3 linked regions of the Drosophila melanogaster genome follow. The protein of the gene in region 3 interacts with the protein of the main gene of each other region in a pairwise test. Each region holds a gene or a part of one and is shown on either strand. Other genes may lie near its edges.

Region 1 (5,683 bases), on a different chromosome or scaffold from region 3:
CACTCGGTCAGTTGGCCATTTGGGCATTTGCCGAGTTGTGGGGGGAGTGGGGTGTGCTGGTATTTTCTGGCCAAAAAGCTGGCCGAAGACAAAGCGAATCAGCTGCTGCACATGCAAACTCGGCGAACTCCCCGTTGGCGTTATTTTTCAGCTTTTCTTAACGATGCTTGAAGGAGGAAAATAGCAAATGGCCAAAAAAAAAAGAGCAAGAAAATTATTATTATTGTATTTTCTGCATTTTAAGATTCGGTTGCACATGGGCTCTGCTCGGCTTTTTGGGCACTATAAAAGCCGCTGCAAATTTGGAGCTAACCACACAAATCGGCGAGGCGTCAACACAGACCAACAGTTCAGTAGTTCAGCCAATAGCTAGCGCACCAGGATCGCAAGGATTAGCAAAATGTACAAGTTGGTGAGTCTACCCTATGGCCAAGTCACATGATTCTGGACCTAATGCTATAATTTTCATCGAAAAGGTGGTGTTCTTCGCTCTGCTCGCCGTCGTGGCTGCCCGTCCGGGTTATTTGGAGTCTGGTCCACTGCTCCACAGCTATGCCGCTCCTGCCATCATCCATGAACCGGCTCTGGCCAAGGTGGGCGCCATCATCAAGACCGTGCCCAGTGCCGTCTCCCACCAGAGCATCAGCCAGGTGCACAGCTCGGCCCACATCATCCAACCGATTGTGGCTCCGGTGGTGAAGACCTATGCCGCTCCCATCATCAAGACTTATGCGGCTCCTGCCCTCCACACGACCCTCCTCTCGTCTCCGTGGGCCGGACATGGTTGGGCTGGCCATGGCTGGGCTCCGTCCTGGTAAATGTGATGGAGGTCCTGGATGGCATTGCGTGGGCTAGCAACTTTGGCTTACCCTCACCTCGATCCCATGCTTAAACTCTCAACCCTGCTGTTTTGTTTTTCTTCTTTCACATTTCGACTGATGTAAATAAATCCATGTTTCATGCTCAAAATAATTCTGTGGCATATTTCTTAATGGAAAAACACTTTATGCTACCAGTTCACTAGAAGTTAGATAAGAACTCGGTATCAGTGCTTTTACCTTAACTTATGTGGCTGGTAGTTCTTATCTATCACGATTTGGTTGCTTGATGTTTATACGTGTTTTGAAATTTATCTTGGATAGTACTTTATTCTAAATCGTTATCAAGCAATTATTGTTTATTGTTCGTTGTTTAAATTATGCTTTCAATACTCTACTTATACCATTTATAGTAGTACATATATGAACAATAGTATATCCTTAATGAATTAATTCTATCTGAATATAACATAGAAATTGATGACTGTTTAAAAAAATTCCAAATTTCAGGCACTATGTAAGATCAATTAATCTTCAACTCAAAACAAGTTTTGTTTAGTAATCCAATTTTTTTTCAGTAGTAATCTACAACTATAAGAAATGTGAACTTATATTATATATATAATTATATATTATATATATAATATATGTATATTATATTATATTATATTAATTTGTATCTTCAATTTAAAAAGGCATTTAAAGCCCAAATTTTCAAATTGTAGCTGTATTTTTGTAAGTATGGCTACAGCACTATAGTAATTTCCCAATCAAAACAAATGTCAATTTTTTAACAATCACATTTTACTCGCAATTAAACTCAATTATGTACAATAGGAATCGCTATTTTCTAACCGTCCAGTTCGCTGGGATGAGTCCCCAAAGGTCTAGTCTTTCGATTACCAGCTGGAGTTGTAGACAACCGGAGAAGCGGCGGCATAGGAGGTGTGCACCACCGGGGCGGCATAGCTGGTGTGGACAACGGGAGCGGCAGCATAGGCGGTATGCACCACTGGGGCAGCTGCAGCATAGCTGACCACCGGAGTGGACTTCACCACCGGGGCCACGATGTCCTCCACTACATGCGAGTGGCTGTGCACCACCGACTGGCTCTGGTGGGAGACCGATGTGGGAATGCTGCTGACCACAGAACCCACCTTGGCCAGAGAGCGCTCCTGGACAACGGTTGTGGCAGCTGGAGCGGCATAAACCAGAGGAGACTCATAAAGATGACCGGGACGAGCGACAGCTACGGCGAGGAGAGCAGACAACACCACCTGGACAAGAGAGTTGGAGGATTAATTGATGATATAATGCTGTGATAAATTTTGTAACTTACCAATTTGAACATGTTTAAGGATTTTTGTTTCTTGGTCTGTGTTGTGCTGCTGAAGCGAACAAGTTGACTGATAATTTGACAACCGCAAGTGCCGCCTTATATATGGTTAAAAATGGATGTTCACGACGCGGCTGCAAGGCGAAGAAAGAGTGGTTTAATTAAAACATTTACGAGCAGAGCAGAGGGCAGTCAAAACCAAATGAGTTGTATAAATCTGCCCTCGCCGGCACAATAAAACATGAGACTTGCATTTGGTCACTGTGAGACCCAAAATCCCAAAAACCCGTAGCCCAAAACCAAAAAGCTCACGCACTGCAAGTTGACCCTGACTCACGCCCCCAAAGTGCAAGTAATGCAGTCGCCGAGGAATCACTGTATCTAATGGCAGTCAAGGGGCTAATGGCTGTGATTCGGATCAGTTTTACACAGAAGAAATAAGTGAGGCAATAAGTGAGGAGTGATCTATTATTTAATTTAAAATATTAAAAAAATATCACTATACTTAAAACTCCAAAGTATATAAAGAATGTGTTCAAATTAAAGACGCAATGATATGAAATATTTATCATAATACGATCACTTTTTTTCTCTGTGTATCACATTTCCGAGTACCCGAACAAGTAGTTCGCTTGTCTCCGCTGAGCCGTCCACCGACGCTAATTGCTTATTGATCGTTGGCCAGAATCTGATATGGGTATGACTTCGGTCCGAATTGTGACGCACTTTTGTGAGCCGGAAGGTCAAAGCCAAATGGCTGCTGTATAAAAAGATAGATGCAGCCCGGCAAACGGCAACAGTTCTCGCAAGAAACTCAAACCGATCACTCCCAATTCCAAACAGTCAATACAGACCTAACCCATTTCCAAAATGTTCAAGTTGGTGGTATTGTCTGCTCTGCTCGCTGTAGCCGCTGCCCGTCCCGGTCACCTGTTGGAGTCCTCCCCGCTGGTCTACGCTGCCCCAGCAGCGACGACCATCGTCCAGGAGCCCGTTCTGGCCAAGGTGGGAGCCGTGGTCAAGAGCGTACCCACTGCCGTCAGCCACCAGAGCCAGTCGGTGGTGCACAGTCACGCTCATGTTGTCGAGGATGTCGTTGCTCCCGTGGTGAAGTCCACTCCGGTGGTCAGCTATGCTGCTGCCGCTCCAGTGGTTCACACCTCCTATGCCGCTGCTCCCGTTGTCCACACCAGTTACGCTGCTCCTGCTCCCGTTGTTCACACATCCTACGCCGCCGCCGCTCCCGTTCTGGCCACATCCTACGCCCAAGTGGCCGCCTCCTCGCCGCTGACCTACACCGCCACTGGTGTGTGGTAAATCCATGGCCAGGCCCACTCCGAATCCTACTCCTCTCACTGTTGACAGGTGACCAGGATGCATGTGCATCGCTGGACGGTTTTGTGATACGAATTTTAAATAAATAAATGTTTTGCTTTGAAATCGTGCAAGTTGTTTTCTTCACCCTGCGGGTCATTTATCTTCCTGTAGTTCCTAAAGAGTCTAAACAGATGATAGTAACAAATAGCTTTTATCACTAATATATAGATGAAATATATATACTAATACAAAGGTACTAGAACTGAAAAAGTAAATTAACTGTGGAACTCATTGTTCTTGGTAAATATATAATGAAATTCGGGGCTGATTTACTTTGTCTTGAAATTCAAAATGTTAGGCGAAATGTTGACATTTTGACGTGAATTTAGACTTTTTTTTTAAACATTTTCCGGCGCGTGTGGACTTGGTCTTAGCTCGCTTGGTGTACTAAAAGTGTCCTGGTTCAATGCCCTGTGTCACGTATCTACTTACATCCTGCTGCACCTGTGCCGTGGGTAAATATTGGACACCCATATGTCGGAAAAACGCCACATATGTGGGTGAAAATTAGCTGGGTGACAGCGTGGGCATCCCGCTGGTTGGGAATTGCTGACATTTTCGGGCAGTGAACTCAACGAACCATTAGCCCTCTTCAAGGGCATTTCTAAAAGTCATTGTACCTCTGATTTAAACGTTTTTAATAATACAGGCTAAAAACATTTTAAATCACTTTTTTTACAATTAAAACAATACATTAGTTAAAATGTTTGGTGCGGAAGTGTGTAATCATGGGTATCTCCATCTTTAACTTGGCAGCAAAATCAGCAAGGGGCTGGAAAAACATGGTTAGTGCTCCACTCAATCCGCGATCCACCTCTGTCACGTTCACCTCCCTTCTGACTATCTCGTGGCGGCCATTAACATATCCATTGGTGCAGTGGATGCTCAGAAGGATTAGAACAAATATCTAGAAAGAAATCCATTTAACAGAGTATTTTTATGAATATTTTCTATATTTTCTTACCGCTTTCAACAGGTAATCCATTTGTAGTGTTATCAACGGCGGGTTAAATGCAATCACTGGTGCATTATTAAAATTCTACGCATTTATATACCAAATTCTGTTCAATTCTTCAATACGAGTGTTCTGGATGTTCTGGACAGGTGCAGTCACAATTTTACGGAATAGAAAAATAAACACAGACAGTTTACTTGGAGGAAAGCAACACTTCAGTGGTCGGATTAGGTTTAAAAATGGTCAACAAAACTGTACATATATATCTAAATCCATTTTCTTCCTACAAAAAAGTTTACAAGCAGTACATATATGGCGGGATTTGGCGAAACGTGCCGGGATCTCTAGCGGGATTTCTGGCGGGGCCTTTCGGGCTCCCGCGGGATTTCGGGATAAAAGGTAGAAAGTTGAGATTAAGTATGCAGATTCCAGAGACATATACATTTGTTGACCCACGTTGTAAAAAGACGCCACACCCACAGTTTTGAAAAAACTGTTAAAATTTTCATTTAATAATCAAAGAGGTTGTTGAACTTTCTCGTTCGCATTCCCACTAGCTGATAAGCGGGTATCTAATAGTCGAGTAAATATACTATAGCGTTCTTTCTGTAGCTTTTACTCACTACTGTTTTGAATGACCATTTTAATCAAGCAAAAATCATTGCGAATTCTTGGAATTTAAGTAAATGCGAGTAAGCCAAGCGAAAGTGTTTTCCTGTCATTATAAACTTGGCCTTGAATTGGGTCGGAAGCGATTACGATTGGTTTCCAATTAGAAGTAATCTCGGACCCTTGGTTCTCCCTCCGCACCAGAAATCGATCTTCAGGTGAGTACGTGCGACTAATGAGCTCCGAGTTGTGAAATGAAATCAAGAGTGGGTATGGCAAACAAGTGCGAGGCCGAAAATAAGTGAAGTAATGAGTAGTGGGAAAGGGGCAAACTCGGTTGAGGAGGCGAGCGAGCCGAACAGAAATTGGCCACGAATAATAATCTGGTTTATGGCCAAGACCCGAGACAAGCGGCCAGAATCCGTTCAGGCACGTTCGACTTATGGCTTATTGTATCCGCCTCAATTGACAAAAGCCGGCGAAGTGCGTGTGTGTGTAAAATGTGAAGTTCAAGTATAAAAGACGTTGACAGTCCCTCAGCTCAACACATTCGAAGTCTGTCTCCCTATCCAGCGACACCAGTCGAAG
Region 2 (10,573 bases), on a different chromosome or scaffold from region 3:
AATAGTATTATAGAGGAGTCCTCCTCAATGCCAGTTGATGGTAATTTTCAGCCGAACTGAGCATAACTCTTAATGGACTCATAGGAAAAGGTATTAACTATCCTTGTGCTTGAAGATAAAACCACTTCCCGCTCTCCTGGAACTTAATTCGACATTTAAGACAATAGCATATTAGTGGATCTTTCACAATGAGTCTACCTCAATGCTAGTTGAAGGAAATTCCATCCCAGCTAAGGCATATATTAAATAGACTCAGAGGAATAAGTGTTAATTATCCTAGTGCTTGAAGATTAAGCCACTTCCCGCTCTCCTGGAATTTAAGACTACATTAGAAAGAAAGCATTCATTACAGAGATCAGTGTCCGTCCAAAACTAAAACTGCAGCGTTGATCTCTGCAGCGTTGTGGCATTCAATTGGACCACAGGAAATCCCATGGTTAGCTATTCCTCTTAAGGGCATGGCCTCAAAAATGCAATCTTAATAAAGCATAAATCAACAAAATCCTATTCTCAGAAACCGCGTGTCAGTCCACCTCAATGCCAGATGGCTTAAAAATACGATGCCATACTGAGCATAACCAAAAATGGACTAATATCAATTGAAATTGTTTTAACTATCCTTGTGCTTGAAGATATAAGCCACTTCCTGCTCTCCTGGAAATTAAAACAACACTAAAGTTAAGCATTATTCACCAAGGGTATCATTATCCGTCCAAAACTAAAACTGCAGCGTTGATCCTTACAGGGTTGTGGTATTCAACTGGACCATAATAAACCCCATGATTAGCTATTCCTCTTAAGGGCATGGCCTCAAAAATGCAACCTTAATAAAGCATAAATCAACAAAAACCTATTCTCAGAAACCGCGTGTCAGTCCACCTCAATGCCAGATGGCTTAAAAATACGATGCCATACTGAGCATAACCAAAAATGGACTAATATCAATTGAAATTGTTTTAACTATCCTTGTGCCTGAAGATATAAGCCACTTCCTGCTCTCCTGGAAATTAAAACAACACTAAAGTTAAGCATTATTCACCAAGGGTATCATTATCCGTCCAAAACTAAAACTGCAGCGTTGATCCCTACAGCGTTGTGGTATTCAATTGGACCACAATAAACCCCATGATTAGCTATTCCTCTTAAGGGCATGGCCTCAAAAATGCAACCTTAATAAAGCAATAAATCAACAGCAAAAATTCTACTTTGGTGCTTCGAGTGGATCAAGTGATAGCTTACTCATTTCGATTTTTTTTTGTGACCTCTTTGCAGATCCTGGTCAGCGCCATCATCAACTCGGGACCCCGTGAGGACTCCACCCGTATTGGACGTGCCGGTACCGTCCGTCGCCAGGCCGTCGATGTGTCGCCCCTGCGTCGCGTCAACCAGGTGGGTTTCTTCTGAAGATTTGCCTTCCAGATGCATGTGCTCACGGTGGCCGGTAGCAATGGCTTGTGGTTCGTTTAGAGACTGCTTGCTTATAACACTTGGCCAGAACGAAAATCTATCTAATATCCGTAGCGTCATAATGTGTAGTATAGCCGACATTTGGCGTATGAAACGAAGAGACATTATCAATTGCATAACACACTTTCATTTTACTAACGATAAGAACCCCAAATTCTTACGCTGCTGTGATTGCGTTCATAAAGTTACTTAATTAATTTTTTTCCGTATATTTCCTTTAGGCTATCTGGCTGCTGTGCACTGGAGCTCGTGAGGCTGCCTTCAGGAACATCAAGACCATCGCCGAGTGCCTGGCTGATGAGCTGATCAACGCTGCTAAGGTGGGTAAATTGGGCTTGTGGCGAGATCAAAGTGGGAATGGGGTGGTCTACTCTAATGCTTGGCATTGTACTACCAAAATGCCTGGCCTCGCTTGTAGACCAGATCGAGAACCACGTTCGGCACTCGGATTAACCCAAGAATTGAGCTTCGAAATAGCTCTTTTCTTCCTTCTAGTGACACAGCTAGTCATTTCAACTAGTCCAATCTAATTCTGCATCATGGTTTATTTATGTAGTCTCGCTTTTGGACCAGATCAAACTCCAAATCTCTTATTATCCTTGTGCTAGTGACCACTTAACTGTCCTATGCACACGAGAAACGTAAAAGAACACTTTTATGAATTAGCATTTAGGAACTGATTCGATTAGGATAGCGGGGGTCCAATCTAATTCTGCATAGTGGTTTAATTATGTAGTCTCGCTTTTGGACCAGAACAATCACCATCCTTTATTATCCTTGTGCTTGTGACAATATCAGTCTAATGCACACGAGAAACGTAAAAGAACATTAGCAAACTATTTAAGAGTTGGTATATAGAGCTTAATAATAGGTCCAATCTAATTCTGCATGGTGGTTTAATTATGTAGTCTCGCTTTTGGACCAGATTAATTTCCATCCTTTATTATCCTTGTGCTTGTAATATTGCTTAGTTCAATGCACATGAGAAACGTAAAGGAACACTAGCTTTAAATAAGTTAGGGACTTGTTTTTTTATATTTATTTATTTAGAAGCGATGAATCCATACAATGCAGTAACAGTAACATAACAGCGCAATTAACATATAAAAGATCTAGAAAAACATTGATAGCCAATACTAATAACTTGTGTTTAAATGTATTTCCAGGGATCTTCCAACTCGTACGCCATCAAGAAGAAGGATGAGTTGGAGCGTGTCGCCAAGTCCAACCGTTAAGGAGACATCATCACCAGCAAAAACAAACTTCTGTCTGTTTTTTTTTATACAAATAACGTGTGTACACTGAGAAATGATACACTAAAACTAAAATAAACAACAAGATGAAAAATTCACTTCAGACCATTCTTTTTTTATAGTTTTTAGTTTATAATAAACTTGGTTGTCAGAGAAGAACGGATATTTTAGCTATTTTCTATCGGGCTGCTGGTGTCAGAAATATGTGAGGTTAAGCGTGAGTAAAACGTGAAATTGTCTTGCTTGGAATAGCTAAAAATATTGAAATGAAATTTAGCTAAAAAATTAAAGTAAATTACATGGTTTAAACAAATTGAAACTTTAAAAAGTTTTTTTTATCGATATTGATACAATTTCTTTCATAGATATTTCTCTAACTACTCACGATAGATCACTAAAATACGGTTTTTTTAGTGTATAAAATCTATAGATAGTTGCGATACTCCATCGATCTGGCATCACTTTTCTAAAATAAATGTATTGGAAAGCTGGCAACAGTTTACAATACTCCGATTGTTTTAAGCCCTTAAATTCTACATTTATATATTCTATTCTTCGCTTTTGAAGAACTCTATGCCAAAGCAACAAAAGATCCATTTATTGTAGGAGGCTAGTCATTAGTCATTTAACGACATTTAAAATCTAAGTCACACATTACCCGATCGAAAAACTTCAGTATCGATTTAAATCAGGGCTCGATAGGTACACTTCATATCGCAATCGGTTTTAATTCCAATTTTTCCTTAGTCAAACACTTCATTTTAAAATTCTTTGGTAGTAGGTCGGATTGAAATAAGTTCACATTTCTGGATTAGTGTATAATGTTCACAGTGGATGCAAGCGAAGGATCATCAGTTGTAAACGAGACTCCATTAAAAAGCCAGTAAGTGCACGGTAATCCTGGTTAAAAAACAGGGCGCATTTATTTTCGCAGGCTCCTAAAGACATAAAACACGAAATGCTAATATACAATACAGATTCCACGATCAGAAGTTGGTTGAGCACTTTTGCCGGCAGACGCAGCTGCTCAAGCTGGTCCAGGTCTCCTCTGGCCGCTTTGTGGCGAACTATATGAGCTCCCGGCGGCCAGAGGACCTGCTGGCCCCCATCCAGCTGCGCCTGGACTTCGAATACCGGCAACTACTCGATATCTCACCGCAACTACTGCAGCTCATCGTCGAGGAACCGCTGCAGTTTCAAGAAGCGGTCCGCTACTCGGTTTATGGCTTGATCCGCTCACATCTCAAGGACGCTGGCCTGAAGCCCATCGATATCAACCAGCTGCACGCCCACTGGCGCCTGGTGGGACTGCCCTTTACGCCGGGCCTGCAGTTCGAGCCGCGGGACCAGTTGACCCGGCTGGGCTTGTCCCAGATCCGGGGCATCCTAGCCGCTTTCACGCCGCAAGAAACACTGGTGTCAGTTTTACAGTTTGTACATGTCCTGGCAGAGAATTGCAATGTTCCCCTAGTTTGCTTTGGTGTGCTTTTTCCACATTTTTCTTATTCGATTTGGTTATGTTTGGGTACTATGTATCCTGTCATGCCTGATTAATTATAGTTATAGTTCTTAACTAACCAAGCTAGCCAAGCTGGTTTACCCTTTTTGGTTTAGTTCAAGAGGGTTTTAAGCTTAGTCTCTTAAGTGTAAATACCAACCTACAAAAGAAGTATATCTATATCCCATTAACTTTCTATGAATGTTCATTGTTGTTAAAGTTAAAAAAGCATGGATCGTATTATCGTTATTTTTTATTTAAGTGGGTTAATGGTATTTATTATTTGTCTATTGCATGTATTATTTTCTTATGCTTTAGGCAATATCTGTTTCTAAACATATTAATTATAAAACACACAGCTGCTCTGCTAGGGTGTACCAATCTTTGATAATATGTGTAATTTATATCCTGATATTCCATTGTAGCCTACAATCGATCTGGTACTGCGGCAGTGGCTGTATGCGAAATGCCATACAGACCAGCTCAACAGATGGTAGGTCCCATAGGCTAGGAACATAAAGAAACAACGTGCACTTTATCCAAATTGTGGCACAGCCAACAACCTCTAACTAACAACCTCTAACCTCTAGCCATACTCACAACCCTCGGAACCCTGTCTAACAAAATGTTATCTAACCCAGCATTCCTTGTTCACGAGATCCTGTGCCAGCTCCATTGCTAATCCATCTTCTTGATATCTTTCAGCACCCTTTTGTTCGAGCTGCTCGCGGCCCATGAGTGAATACCAAAAGCTGCGCGTCACGGAAACCTATCGTATCTTGGCTGTCTTGCCTATTTCGGCAGTTCAGACACCTCGTGTCACCAATTGCCTTCATCGCCCAAAATTAGTTCGCCTTAGAGGTAAGTGAATCTGGTATTCAGGACATCATAAACACGTGAAATTAAATATGCCTGGTAAACTAGGACATACTCATTTGGATGTCACTATCATGAATAATCATAATATTAACAACATTTCTTAGCCCACGCCCACGACTGCGAATTAAAGTTGGGTGCTAGCTACCTAATCACTGGATACTTTGCGAGCTCAGCCAGCACATATCAACTGGAAGCATGTCATCTACGAATAAACTAGAGAAAAAGGACCCTCGTAGGCACATTCCCCTCCAGCTTAATGTTTTCTTGCGCAACGATGACGATGGTGAAGTTCGTGAAGTTACTCAAAATGCCAACACAAGCTCCATAGGGTAGAATATTCTATTTACACCATTATAATAAGCAAATATATTAATGTATCCCCCAATGCCCAGCACCATACCATCGAATGGCCTGGTCGAAAGCGATGTGACGCCTATTATGACTCCCACACCGAAGGCCGGTGTCTACAAACCAAATGTTAACGTCTGGCGCTTATCTAAAGAAGTCACTAAGCCTGATCGTAGCTTTGTTGTGAGTGCCGAAGAGTATCCTGATTTGGGCCAGCGCCCGAAGAGATTCAAACAACGAACGCCGCGGGTGCGTAATCAAGATGACGGCGGCACTGTTTCGTGCCTTGCCAGTCGTTTTAGTCGCGTAAAAGATCCGCCTGTGCTGGGTAACTTTTTGCCGGATTTCATGCTTCCGAAATCGAGCAACAGCAATCATCAATCGGTGACCACTTGGCTGTCGTCAGTACGTCCTAGCGACAGCCAAAAGTCTTTAAGCGACCAGGCACGTTGCTCTTCTTCGACCAATATAACACTGCTGAGTAAAGATTCAGTACAGCCGCTGACGCCAAAAAGTTCTGCCCAGTCCTCTCCGGGTGAGAAGAATATCCAACAGGAGCAGAATACTCCAGCTAAATCCCAACAGGAGGAGACAAGTCCGGCTAATTCTGTCGAGCATCAGCAGAAAACACCTAACTCTCCAAAGGAGCAGCAGAAGAGTTCTGTCGGTTTTACTAACATGCAGCAGATGGCTTCCGCCAATTCTTTACAGCAGCAAAACAGTTCTGCCAGTTCCTTACAGCAGCAGAATAGTTCGGTCCATTCCTTACAGAAGCGGAAGAGTTGGGTCAATTCTTCACAGCAGCAGAGGAGTTCGGTCAATTTCATACAGAAGCAAAGGAGTTGGGTCAATTCCTCGCATCATCAGAAGAGTTCTGCCAGTTCTTTACAGCAGAAGAGTTCTGAAAATTCTCCCAGCAAATTCCAACAGCAGCAACAGAAGAGTCCTGCCAATAATGAAAGGAGCCAAAACAATCAGAAGTCTCCTGGCATTCAGCACTCTTGGAAACAACAACAGCAGCAGAAGCCAAAGATTCTTCAGAATTGTCCGAAAACTTCTGTTCAGCAGCAGATGAACCCTGTTAATCATACTCAGTCGCAATCAGAGAGACCTACCGAGCTCATTTACTTGCACTCAAGGAGCCCTGCGAAGAGAGCTTCAGTTACAAACAATTCTTCGGCACCAATCCGCATTGCGCCCAGACAGCAGACCACTCAATCTTCGGGTCCCAGTGTTGTCCACAATGAGGACGAGGATGTTATGCCGCCGACGCCTAATCAAAGTGAGAGAAGGCAGAGGAGATTCCCACGTCGCAATCACAACCCCCGGATGGTGCGCAGTCTGCAGGCGGTAAGTCGAGAGTTTACAGAGTCCTTGCTTGAGGGATCTTCAGGGAAAACGCCGGAAAAAGAGGTGGTGCCGTACCAGCAACAGGAGAAACCGCGCCAGGTGAAAAGCTCACCAGAAATCCATGCGAGCAGCCACATGCGAAAATTGGCTATGGGCAGCGTTTTGAACTCAAATGCTAAGGAGTTCCACCCTACCGGAGAATCCCATCTAACCCACAAAGTGTCTAGATTGAGCGTAAGTTACTGCACCGTAAGTTTAATCCTCATTAGATAACCCTTTCTATATTGGACAATTACAGCAAAGACGCTGTCGACAGCGTTTTACGCGCTCTTTGCACGCGAAAAAAAATAACCCACGCGAGCAACTACCAAATCCTGACAGCGCCCCAGAACCAATACTCGAATACACCTCTGAGATAGATGATCAGCCATGTCCACCACGACAGACAGTCGACACACCGATCGAAGCCATTGTACCACCGGCAATGATCGAGGTGAGTGCCACCGGCAATCTGCCGCCCGTGTTCTATTTTGATCAGCAGTCGGGAATTATATGGAGCAACTCGTCACCACAAATTCCGGTTGAAATCCAAAGCAACAGTGTCAGCCAGTCGGTTTTTCGGCTAGCCAGTCTCCCGTGTACAGGGGTTGGCACCACCAATATGGATATATTTACCAGTTCGCCACCCCCCATCCAGCATATGAGCTCCAGCCGCCTCCCATCCAGCATTTCCGGGCCCACCCAGTTATCGCATACTCTCAGTTCGCCGCCGGTGGAGAACCAGCACCAGCAACACTTGTGGGAATCATGCATCCACCAGGACGAGGACCTAATGTACAGCAGGCCTCTGTTGGATATGGATCAGGAGGAAACCCAGCCGGAGCAACAGGACCAGGAATGGCAGTGGGAGTCGGAGATAGAGCCCCCGAGTTTCCAGTCGGAGAACCAGGTCGTCGCCGACGAACACGGCGAGGAAAACGCGTACCTCGCTAAGGACGCAGGACCACCACTCGAGCGTCATATGATATTTCGAGCCCCATCACAGCACGGCCAAGAATATCCCAAGCCGGATCTAAACTGCGTGCCGTCCAGCATCAAGAAACTACATCACTTGATCTCATCGCAGTATTCTGACTACTCCTTTGTCTACGCCCTAAGTGCTCAGATCAGTCAGGACTGTGTGCCTATGGATTGCTTTGTGTACCTGAAGATGATACTGCTGGCCAGTATCGTTTCAATCGAATCTGATGAGGTGCGGGCTCCAATTTCGCTATGCATAATCGCCACCGACAGCCTGATGGCCAACCGTCTACTTAACAAAGTGGGCCAACTGGCACCACGTTTCCTGGGACCCCACGAATACGGACTGCAGCCCACTTTCAATGCCCTGCCCACGCGCTTTAATTGGATAGTGGCCAGTCCTTTACTATTGGCACAACAGGGAGTTTACTACGCCGGCGATTGGAATCGTCTGTCCAAGGATCAGGGATGCCAGCTGGAAAAGTGCATCGAAAATGGAGCGGTCCCAGTTCCGCAGTTGCACATCGATCAGCCCTTAAAGGCAGCCGTTTGGACTTACTGGCAGCCGAACAACTCCACCAATCAAACACTGGCCCTCGCCAAACTGTGCCCGTAAGGTGGACAAAACTAGAAATTACGCTTGTATATTAAGTTAACCTAATTTGCAGAATCTTCGGGCTGCCAATTTATATGGGTGCTCAGGCCAGCAATAGTCTCTGGAACTCTATAATTCAGAAGCACAACGCTGAGGGTCAAATTGTAGTCAACGATGGCTTGAGCATTCCCGAGGACGATATGCGCATGCTTATACATCTGTTGCATCAGCGCAAGACCACCTTAACCGATGGCGCTCAGCATATGCTGCAAAAGTATTATGTGATCTCCAGGAAAGAGCGACCGAGTAAGTCTAATTCCATTAAGCAGCAAATCGTCTTCCTAGCTTCAAAGCGAAGGGTCGTGTCAGTACGGCTTTATGAAACACAGATCAACAAACACAACAACAATCACAATTCAAACAGATCTCATCCAAACTGACTTTAGTAATGTTTCGCATTTAGCATGTTTCGAGAACAATTAACAGAGTCAAATTGTTAATTATTTTCGAAACTTGAAATACTATTTACAACTTTTGTTACTATTTTGTGCTCCTCTAATCGATGGCAACTAACGTTTTCCATCCCGCTCATTTCCAGATGTCTTCTCTAGCAAGACCTATATAGTGCTGAAGCAATTAGCTGAGTGCTTTGCCAAGCTGGCGCTGCGGCTGGAGGTCCTTGAATCGGACGTTTGTGTGGCCATCTTTCACTGCGAGCATTTCGTGCAGGGCATTTTCGGGGCCAAAGAAAACCAGGCACCGCCGGCGGTCTTCAATTTCAATGTGATCTCCTGCATCGATCCGTACATGAACAAGTTTACACGCTGGTTACTTCAGTATCTGAATAGCTACGAGGACGAGGAGCTGGGGATGCACGCGGATAAGAGGCGGCGCACAGATAGCTGGGACATGCCCTAAACGCCTGGCATAGATCCCTATAGACCAACTTGGCATTGATTTGGCATTACTCGTAGATTTATAACCATCGCACACTGGACCAATTTTGAATACCTTTTGTAGTTTTATACAGATAAATTTACAGCACATGTGTTTGTAAACAAAATCGGCACTATAGCCACTAGATACTACACCCTAGCCATTCTCTACTACACAAACAACACCTGAAGCGTTCAAAAACGAAGACTATATTTGTAAGCATTCACACATAGCCGACACATACATACATCCCCCATCTCCTCCACATTCAGTATCTTTTGATTCATTCGATATATGTTTTGTGTATATCGCAAGCTAATCGCGGATAGTTTTAAAAATTTAATTCGCGAAAATCAGGAAAATTTTGGAATAATCTTGTACCGTTGTTAATCGCTAATCAACGATGTTTTTGCTAATTTTTTGGAAGCTATGTACTTGTAAAATTGTTTTTGGGACAAGTATTAAAATTAAATGTGTGGCCAAGAATCTATATAGTTTTGTTTTTTATAAAAACCATATTTCCACAGAATATGCTTACACCTGAAATGAATTGTTAACAATACATAAAATAGTTACATTACGTCGGGGACATCAGGAATACTTTACAAAAGTTATAGTACATAAAATAAGGATGCCATAGATATTTTTAAAAATATATGGTAAGAAGTGTTTACTTTTTGGAGAATTTTGGATTTTTTTTCTCAACTTCAAGTCCAAGGAAAACTATCTACTTATAAAAAAAGTAGTACTTTAATTTTTTTGTTAATAAGAATTAAACCTAAATGCCAAGAATAGTCAAATAGTTTTTTTTTTTGGATTTTATGATAAAAGACAATATTTCCACAGAAAACCTGAAACAGGCTGTGAATAAATGTAACTTAACAATAATTAAGAAATGGACACCAAGAAAGTTAGTAAGTAAATAAATAAAAGAATGTCAAACAAATTTAATTGTTTTTAAATGCAGAACGCTCAATTACTTTGTTGACTACGTTAACTATGTAAAGTCAACAAAATGTTAAGAATACTCTGAATACTTCCGTTTCGAATCGAATAAAAATCATTTGTTTATTTAAAAAAACAATTCTTTTTATTAACTACCTTGTATTGTTACACATATATTTATACATAATTATTGTTATTATTAGTTTAGTGTTTCTCAGTTATTCTCTTGCTTTTGATTATCCTTTCCAGCTGCCTGAGCAAATCGTTCAGTTTTAGTCTTAC
Region 3 (7,040 bases):
GTTGAATATATCCGTAAATGCCGTGCTAACCAACTCGTTAATCATCGGCTTGATGAAGGGCAATCCCAGCTGCCACATGCTGTTGATGACTCCATCGGCCAGTTGGTTGAGGGGCTGTCCCTGCAGCAAGTTCTCAATGTGCAGCTCCATTCCGCCGATGCGGTCCACCTCCACATGGACCTTGATGAGTGAGCCCGGACCGCCGATGCGCCTAACGCTGGTGGTTTGACTGAGGAAGTAAATAAAGTGAGCGATAGGTTGTCATGTAAGCCAAAAGCTATCAACAATACTGGTGTTTGCAACACAGCTTGGGAAATACATATTTCCATGCAACTCGGTGCCCACCTGTAATCGTAGAGGGTGAGGTTCCAGTGGCCTTTTCTGTTCATCTCAGTACCCAGCATCTTGGCGGCGAACTCGTACTCGCCCTCCAGACTTTTGTCGGGGAAATACTGAGTGTAGACGATGCGCTGGTCCTCTGGATCGGCATGGAACTTGGTCACCTCGGATCGCGCCCATCCGTACTCGGATACATTGCGCAATATCAGACGAAAGCTGCCCAGACCCTGTGATTCACCTCGTCGCAGCTCAACGTAGCTACAGTGGTGCGGGTCAAAGGGCTTGATGTTGTAGTCGGGCACACCTGAAAGAGTTGCTCCATGATTGCTCGCCCGTAATCCACATCTCACTCACCTGTTGTGAAGTAGGCCCTTAGGTCGTTAAACACCTGCCGCATGCACTCGTTGAAATCCTCGTCCGACCAGTGGCAACGACCCAGCAAGTGCTTCAGATCCGTATCCACGTCGATTTGGCTGGACGCGTTTGCCAAGTGGTTGGCAAAGAGCGAAATCCCCGCCAGGTAAACCAGAAGGCGAGCACAGTTTGAGAGCGACTGTTGCGACATGCTCGTGGTTTCAGTTTAACAGCAACTGTTTGTCTTCTGTTAATTTCAAAGGTAAATGTACGTTATGTTTTTATTGTCTTTATTGTTTTGAGTAAACTGATTTTGTGGGCGTGAAGAGCAACCGGTGTTTGTTGTTTAAAGTGTCCTTGTCTTTTGCATACAGTTGATCGTCTACTGAGTTGTTATTAGTTAGTTAGTTATTTTTTCTTTTATTGATTTATAAGTAGTTTATGGTGCTTTTTAAGTTCCTTGATTTCAGGTAAATTTCAATAAGTTAGGAATATGAAAGGCATTAGATAGGCATACAAAATTAAGCAAAAAAATGTATCGCTGAAAGTATATGTTAGCCATCGGTTAGTTGTTGAATCTTCATTACTACGAAAAATGTATTTGATTTAGTAATTGTTAAATACTTTTGTATAGAGTTGTAATTTTTCCAAGATAGTAGTTGTACAGTTATCATACGAATTTTATATTTGCATGAAACTTAAAGACTTATTATTATAATTGCCATCGTAAAGACTTCTCCTAGCACCGAAAATAAAAGACACTTCTTTCTCATCGCAAGCTATTCAAACAGCCTCATCTTCATGTAGTTCGTTTTGTAATCTTTTTGTTCGCCGCATGCACTTGACCCCTTTAACTTAAGCTCACCGACTATTACTGGGCTGAGTACTGCAGCAAATAGATAGCGTAAAAAGAAAACTACAAACATGACAAAATCGTGCGTTAGTATGGAAGCATGGTAACAGTGGTAAACGAAAGACTTCAACAAGACACAAACTTGGGGGTGCGAACAACTTTTAAATCCACTTAGAGGCGGCAGCCAGTCATGCAACGCGAGAGCAACAACGTATGATAATATTTGGCAATTCTTCAGTTTAGCGGTTGCATTTGCAACCAAGTTGACCAACGGTCAGTTATTTAACAAAACAAGTTACCTAGCTACTTAGTTTAGTTGAGTTTTCCGAACTCCCGAGCTTTAGTTTCACTTCCAGGCAATTTACTTCTGGTTGTTCCAAATATATAGTGTAGCCAAATATGAAATTCTGGAACTCGTACGCAAAGGCGCGCAAATATTCGAGAATAATAATAGCTTTACAGTTATTTGCGCCGAATACGCGACGTGAATCAGGCGAGCTCCCGTAGCCAACTGAACCACTCGAAGACGTAGGAAACCAGAGAAAAAGAGCTTCCACCAAAAGTGGCAGCAGCAGCCAAATGAGCCATAATAAAAAAAAAACCACAAAAATAGCAGGAAAATGTTTGAAAGCCATAATATGGCCGGGCACAAAATTGAGCTTTGTCAACTCGGCTTAGAGTTTGACACCCCCAAGTCGCGTTTCCTCATGTGCAAAATGAACAAAATTGAACAAAACGGTCGTAAATCACCAGCAGAAATCATTCATAAATTCCTTTAGAAATGCGTAGAATCATTTAATTGACCGAGATGCGCACTAACTGATAACCATTACTTAGCAAGTTATTATTAATATTATTTCATATAATTTTATAGCATGTTTGATAATAATTCATATTAATGTCCCAAAAGGTGAACAAAAAGTAAATACAAAATTCATTTGAAATAATACAAACACTTTAACTATAAAATAACTTTTCATTTCTCTTAACACACTAAATATTTCTTGAACTTTACATCAACGAGTTGAACGACCTTAGAAATAAATATTTCCTTCGCTGTCTATTTCAAACAATAACCCATCACCGCTGGTTGAAAAGTGATCTGAATTTAATGAGGCAATATTTATTAGACAATCCCATGTCCGTCAATGGGTATTATTCAAGTATGAAATCAAGTACTCACAGCCAGCGCTCAAGTTCATGGGATTGAATAAATCAAGCGACGTGATTGACAATCGTAACGATTGACGGCAATGCTGCCGGTAGGCCAGAAGAAGATTTTGTGGACTGTTTCTTTTGGCAAATGAAAATACAAGGTTGCAGCTTCAGTTGTTATGGCTGATTGCGATTTAATGAAAGGACAAGGTCGCTCTTACAGAAATTCAAAACTGGGCTGAAAACATGCGCCAGCACTTTGTAGCACTTTAAGTGCGATAACAAATGGTGGGCATAAACTGGAAATTCTGCTTTAATTTTGCTCAAAATTACTTAATTTTATTACAATCACAGCCTTTAGCACAATTTTATTTCTTTCGTTCTGTAACGTTTTTAGATATATTTTTTTTAACTAAAAGGGCCGTGGGAAGCATTTTGTAAACACTTTATTAAAGGAGGAAGCATTATTTTTATTTTTCTTCTCTTCTGATGTTGGAATCCTTCCCATTTGACATGCATATTTAAATTACAAGTTTTTTAAATTACAAAGTTAAAAATAAATGAAGCCTTTAGGTATTTTTAGATATTTTTAACAATTTCGAATTTAAAAGCTTGATAGAAACTTTTATCTTATAATTCAATCTTTATAATTTATAGTTTACTCTTTATTAAATAAAACCCAAATATTTCTTACAAACAATTTTATACATTTTATTAAAATTTGTATGTTAACATTTCCCGGTTTGAGCTCAGTATTTTCTGTAATTTGTATGTTAACAATTTCTTATTGGAGCTCGGTATATTCCTTTCAGTAGGTATTTTCCCCTGCGCATAGATGGTCACACTAAGCGGTTGCTGGTTTGTTTATAGTTTTTGTCCGCGAATTTTACTTTAACTTTAGCTATAACTAACAATAATGGAGGTGGAATTCAGTAGGGAGAACTTCCTGCTGCCGGAGATGAAGTACGAGTGTGAGTAGTTCTTCGATTTGCAGGAGAATAATCTGTTGCTAAATATTTCATCACATTGCGTTGCAGACCTGGATCACACGGCGGATGTTCAGTGAGTAAGATAACAACAAAAACAACAAGTGTGCCCGTTAGCCATGTGGAGTAGGGTGGTTCGCTATTTGTGAATGAAAAATCCAGATGATCGTATAAACTAGATTCTAATAAGCGCTTTCGTATTAGAATTTGAGATATAGCAAACATTCTGAAAAAGAATTTATTTTAATTTATACATATTTTAAAGCCATTATAATTTTTCATATTTTCCCAAACCTATGTATTATGTTCATAGTTAGGGAATACGGCTTTTTAAACGTCAAATGTATCTGCTTTTTTGAAGATTATATGTAATGCAAGTTTTTTCTGACTTTTATATTATACTACTATCGCTTAAAACAACAAGACTATTATTAAGTAGTAGATCATAAATAATTCTTTTACTACGCCACTAAAAGGCAGCAGTTTTGTATATAAATTATAACTTACGGCTACAATAGACATAATTAATTTACTTAATATAAACGGATGATGTTGGAATCCTTCCCATTTGACAGAATCCACGGATGGGGATCGTCGCTGAAAGAGGCGTTCGAACAGTGCGGAGTGGCCATGTTTGGATATATGACCGAACTGGATTACGTGTCCGTGGAGCAGTGCTTTGAAATCGAAGCGCATGGAGATGATCTGGAGAGCTTACTCTTTCACTTTCTGGACGAGCTGCTGTTCCTGTTCTCTGCCGAACCGTATCTGGTGTGCAAGAAGCTGGAGATCACCAAGTTCGATGTGGAAAACTTCGAGATTTCCTGCCATTGTTACGGGGAACCATTTGAGCTGGGGAAACATCCGCAGGGCACCGAAGTGAAGGCAATCACATACTCGGCCATGCAAATCATTCAGGACGTGGAGGCCAGCAACTACGAGGTGTTCGTGATAATTGACATTTGATCCAGCGGCGATCGCCGGGAATTAAATGTGACTGTTCTGTTTCAACCCCTTTGCCTGTCTCCATTAATCATAAGTGAAATGCCAAAAAACGATATAAAAACCGCTGCATAAGCCCCGAAAAATTTGCAATCTCTCGTGCTGCGACTGCATCCCTTGTCGATGAGGATGACTTATCAAGAAACCACTCGATTGTGCGGCTGCAAATGCAATTAGGACTGGCTTCCTTCTCACCGGTCTGATTCCGGAATCAAGATTTACCCTTTTGCCTTCGAATTTTTTGTGTACTATTCACTTTTTTTTTGCCCACTGCTTTGTGAATTGGCAACGTGTTGAATTCCCAGACAAATGCCGAATTTGTTGTCCTTTCCCAGGCCCCAGTTCAATGCACTTTTTATTCGGCAGCCTTCAGGAGTTGCTGACGCGTTGGGTTGCATTAAAGAATTAAGTTGTACTTCTTTTTGGGGAGTCATGTCGAATAGGGCAGTTAACAATGCAAGTCAAGGCCATAGTTTTAATGTTATGATTGACTTGATTTGTTCGACATAAAGTATAGAGAATGCGGGGCCTAAAAACACAAACATATTTTTTTATCAACAATAATTTAGTTCAATGAATGTAAATCGTAATAAATATCTATACGATTAAGCAATCCCTAATTCTAAATATCAATCCACGACGATATCAACAAATATTAACGCTTTTCAAAAAACCGATTTCCTTTGAATAACGCGCTATTCTCGAATCAGTATTATTCGGATGATTTTCGCGTGAGCCGATGTTATTTAGTGGCCGATGAGCGAAGTCAGCTGGTAACACCGAGCGATTTGTTTTGAAACAGCTGACCGCACCGTCAAAACCCAGAAAGTAAACAACAAAAAAAACATTTGCCGGGCAACGTCGCCCAACATATGGGCCCGTTCTTGTATTTGTGTGGGTGCGTGCGTGCACGAGTATGATGATTTTTCCTTGGAACATCGGGCGAAGAACGGCGAACTGAAAAATATACGCTTTTACAGCTGATTGATATTAAAAAAAAAGCAACGCTGCGGTCGACGAGCCATACGAATGAGCGTGCGAAAGAACAAACAAAGTATGAAGGCAAATAGCCCGCGGACACACACGCACACACAAACGGCCAGTTGGTCGATTCGCTTTTAGCTTTCAGCTTTTCGAGTGCGTCAAAGTTAAAGTGGCTGAAAAACTTGGTAAAAGTACCAATCGCCAAACTGACTACAAGACAACAGTTATTCGCGGTTATATTTGGCGGAAAGTGGGTGGCACACACGTCAGTCGCCCGTACCGCTGTTTGTTGTTGTGTTTGCTGTTGCTTTCCAATTCGCCCCGCCAATTCGCCGCACCGCTCATTCTTTCTGCAGCCACCAATTGTCATGGTGTTAAAGTGAAGAGGAAGCAGCAGCCCGTGAGCACATTGTGCGCTAGTTGTTGCCGTTTTACACCCAGAAATCGCGGAGATATCGCCCTGAAAGCCCAACCAATTGACAGGTGACGATCTCACCTATAATTTGCGATCAAAAACACAAAGCTAACCCAAGGGGAACCTAGTGAAAAACGTGGCCGAAAAATCCATACGAAGGCGGAATGGAAAAAATGTGGTAGGTAGTACTAGAAGTAGAGAATGTGACATGTGTGTGTGTGTGCATGGTTGTGCGTGTGTGTGGGGGGTGCTGCGCTGGGCATTTTCTTTATAACAGCGGGCCGCAAGCGAAACAAAAAACAACTGTTTTTGGGCGTGCGCCCAAAACGCCGGCTAAAAAAGTACATATGCAAAAAATTGCATGCCGGTCCAGCTGACATATCACCTGCATCAAGAATAAGACGTATGATGTGAGTAAAGTGTCGCGGGCGGGGGGAAGAGACAACCAAGGGTGCTGTATGATAATGCGCACTTTATATAATTGCAGCTACCTGCCATCTCTAATGTTTCGTGCTTCTATCTGTATGCGTATATGGGTGTGTGGGTGTGCGGGTGTGCAGGTGGGTGGCAAATGGCTAACGGACTTCTGTCAAATTCCAATTCATGGGATCTCCGCGCTGACGTCACTAAGATTTCATTTGCAAACATTTCAATTTGATTTATCTCAAGTGTAAAGTCGAGTTTTAGACTACAGTGAGCACCCCAAAAGCAAGAAAAAGTGATTGGTTTCAATTGGTTTAAAAATTTCATATGTTCTAAGAATATAAAAATGCCCACATCTCTCTAGATTTCAATCAAAAACTACAGTGCTCTTTCCTAAAAGGTCGCCCAGTACTTAATTGTTAGTAATGTGTAAAAACCCCATATTTTTTTTATGTCAGATATTACTATCGTTTAAATTCATAAATATATTAAGCAACAAATGTAGTATTTTATCCACATTTTTCTGTTT

The links.
Region 1: the proteins of Archease (region 3) and CG13043 interact in a two-hybrid assay, tested with the Drosophila melanogaster proteins (one large-scale study listed by BioGRID).
Region 2: the proteins of Archease (region 3) and mei-217 interact in a two-hybrid assay, tested with the Drosophila melanogaster proteins (one large-scale study listed by BioGRID).

What each region holds. Positions count from the first base shown.
Region 1 is NT_037436.4:16,303,133-16,308,815, reverse strand, and holds CG13043 (uncharacterized protein), read left to right. Parts: upstream 1-2,945; 5' UTR 2,946-3,024; coding exon 3,025-3,471; 3' UTR 3,472-3,591; downstream 3,592-5,683. Other genes in the region: CG13042 (uncharacterized protein), read left to right, coding at 401-412, 477-818; CG13063 (uncharacterized protein), read right to left, coding at 1,718-2,095, 2,158-2,169; CG43249 (uncharacterized protein), read right to left, coding at 4,226-4,438, 4,496-4,516.
Region 2 is NC_004354.4:17,135,832-17,146,404, reverse strand, and holds mei-217 (meiotic 217), read left to right. Parts: upstream 1-3,414; 5' UTR 3,415-3,541; coding exon 3,542-3,603; exon of another isoform or gene 3,604-3,697; coding exon 3,698-4,138; exon of another isoform or gene 4,139-4,643; coding exon 4,644-4,711; intron 4,712-4,810; exon of another isoform or gene 4,811-4,923; coding exon 4,924-5,079; intron 5,080-5,201; coding exon 5,202-5,314; coding exon of another isoform or gene 5,315-5,426; intron 5,427-5,489; coding exon of another isoform or gene 5,490-7,029; intron 7,030-7,093; coding exon of another isoform or gene 7,094-8,427; intron 8,428-8,483; coding exon of another isoform or gene 8,484-8,716; intron 8,717-9,008; coding exon of another isoform or gene 9,009-9,328; 3' UTR 9,329-9,827; downstream 9,828-10,573. Other genes in the region: RpS5a (ribosomal protein S5a), read left to right, coding at 1,273-1,389, 1,689-1,787, 2,634-2,702; mei-218 (meiotic 218), read left to right, coding at 5,293-5,426, 5,490-7,029, 7,094-8,427, 8,484-8,716, 9,009-9,328.
Region 3 is NT_033777.3:21,659,442-21,666,481, reverse strand, and holds Archease (archease), read left to right. Parts: upstream 1-3,509; 5' UTR 3,510-3,617; coding exon 3,618-3,672; intron 3,673-3,738; coding exon 3,739-3,763; intron 3,764-4,262; coding exon 4,263-4,653; 3' UTR 4,654-5,296; downstream 5,297-7,040. Other genes in the region: Jhbp16 (juvenile hormone binding protein 16), read right to left, coding at 1-229, 346-643, 694-904. UniProt on the Drosophila melanogaster protein: Component of the tRNA-splicing ligase complex required to facilitate the enzymatic turnover of catalytic subunit RtcB.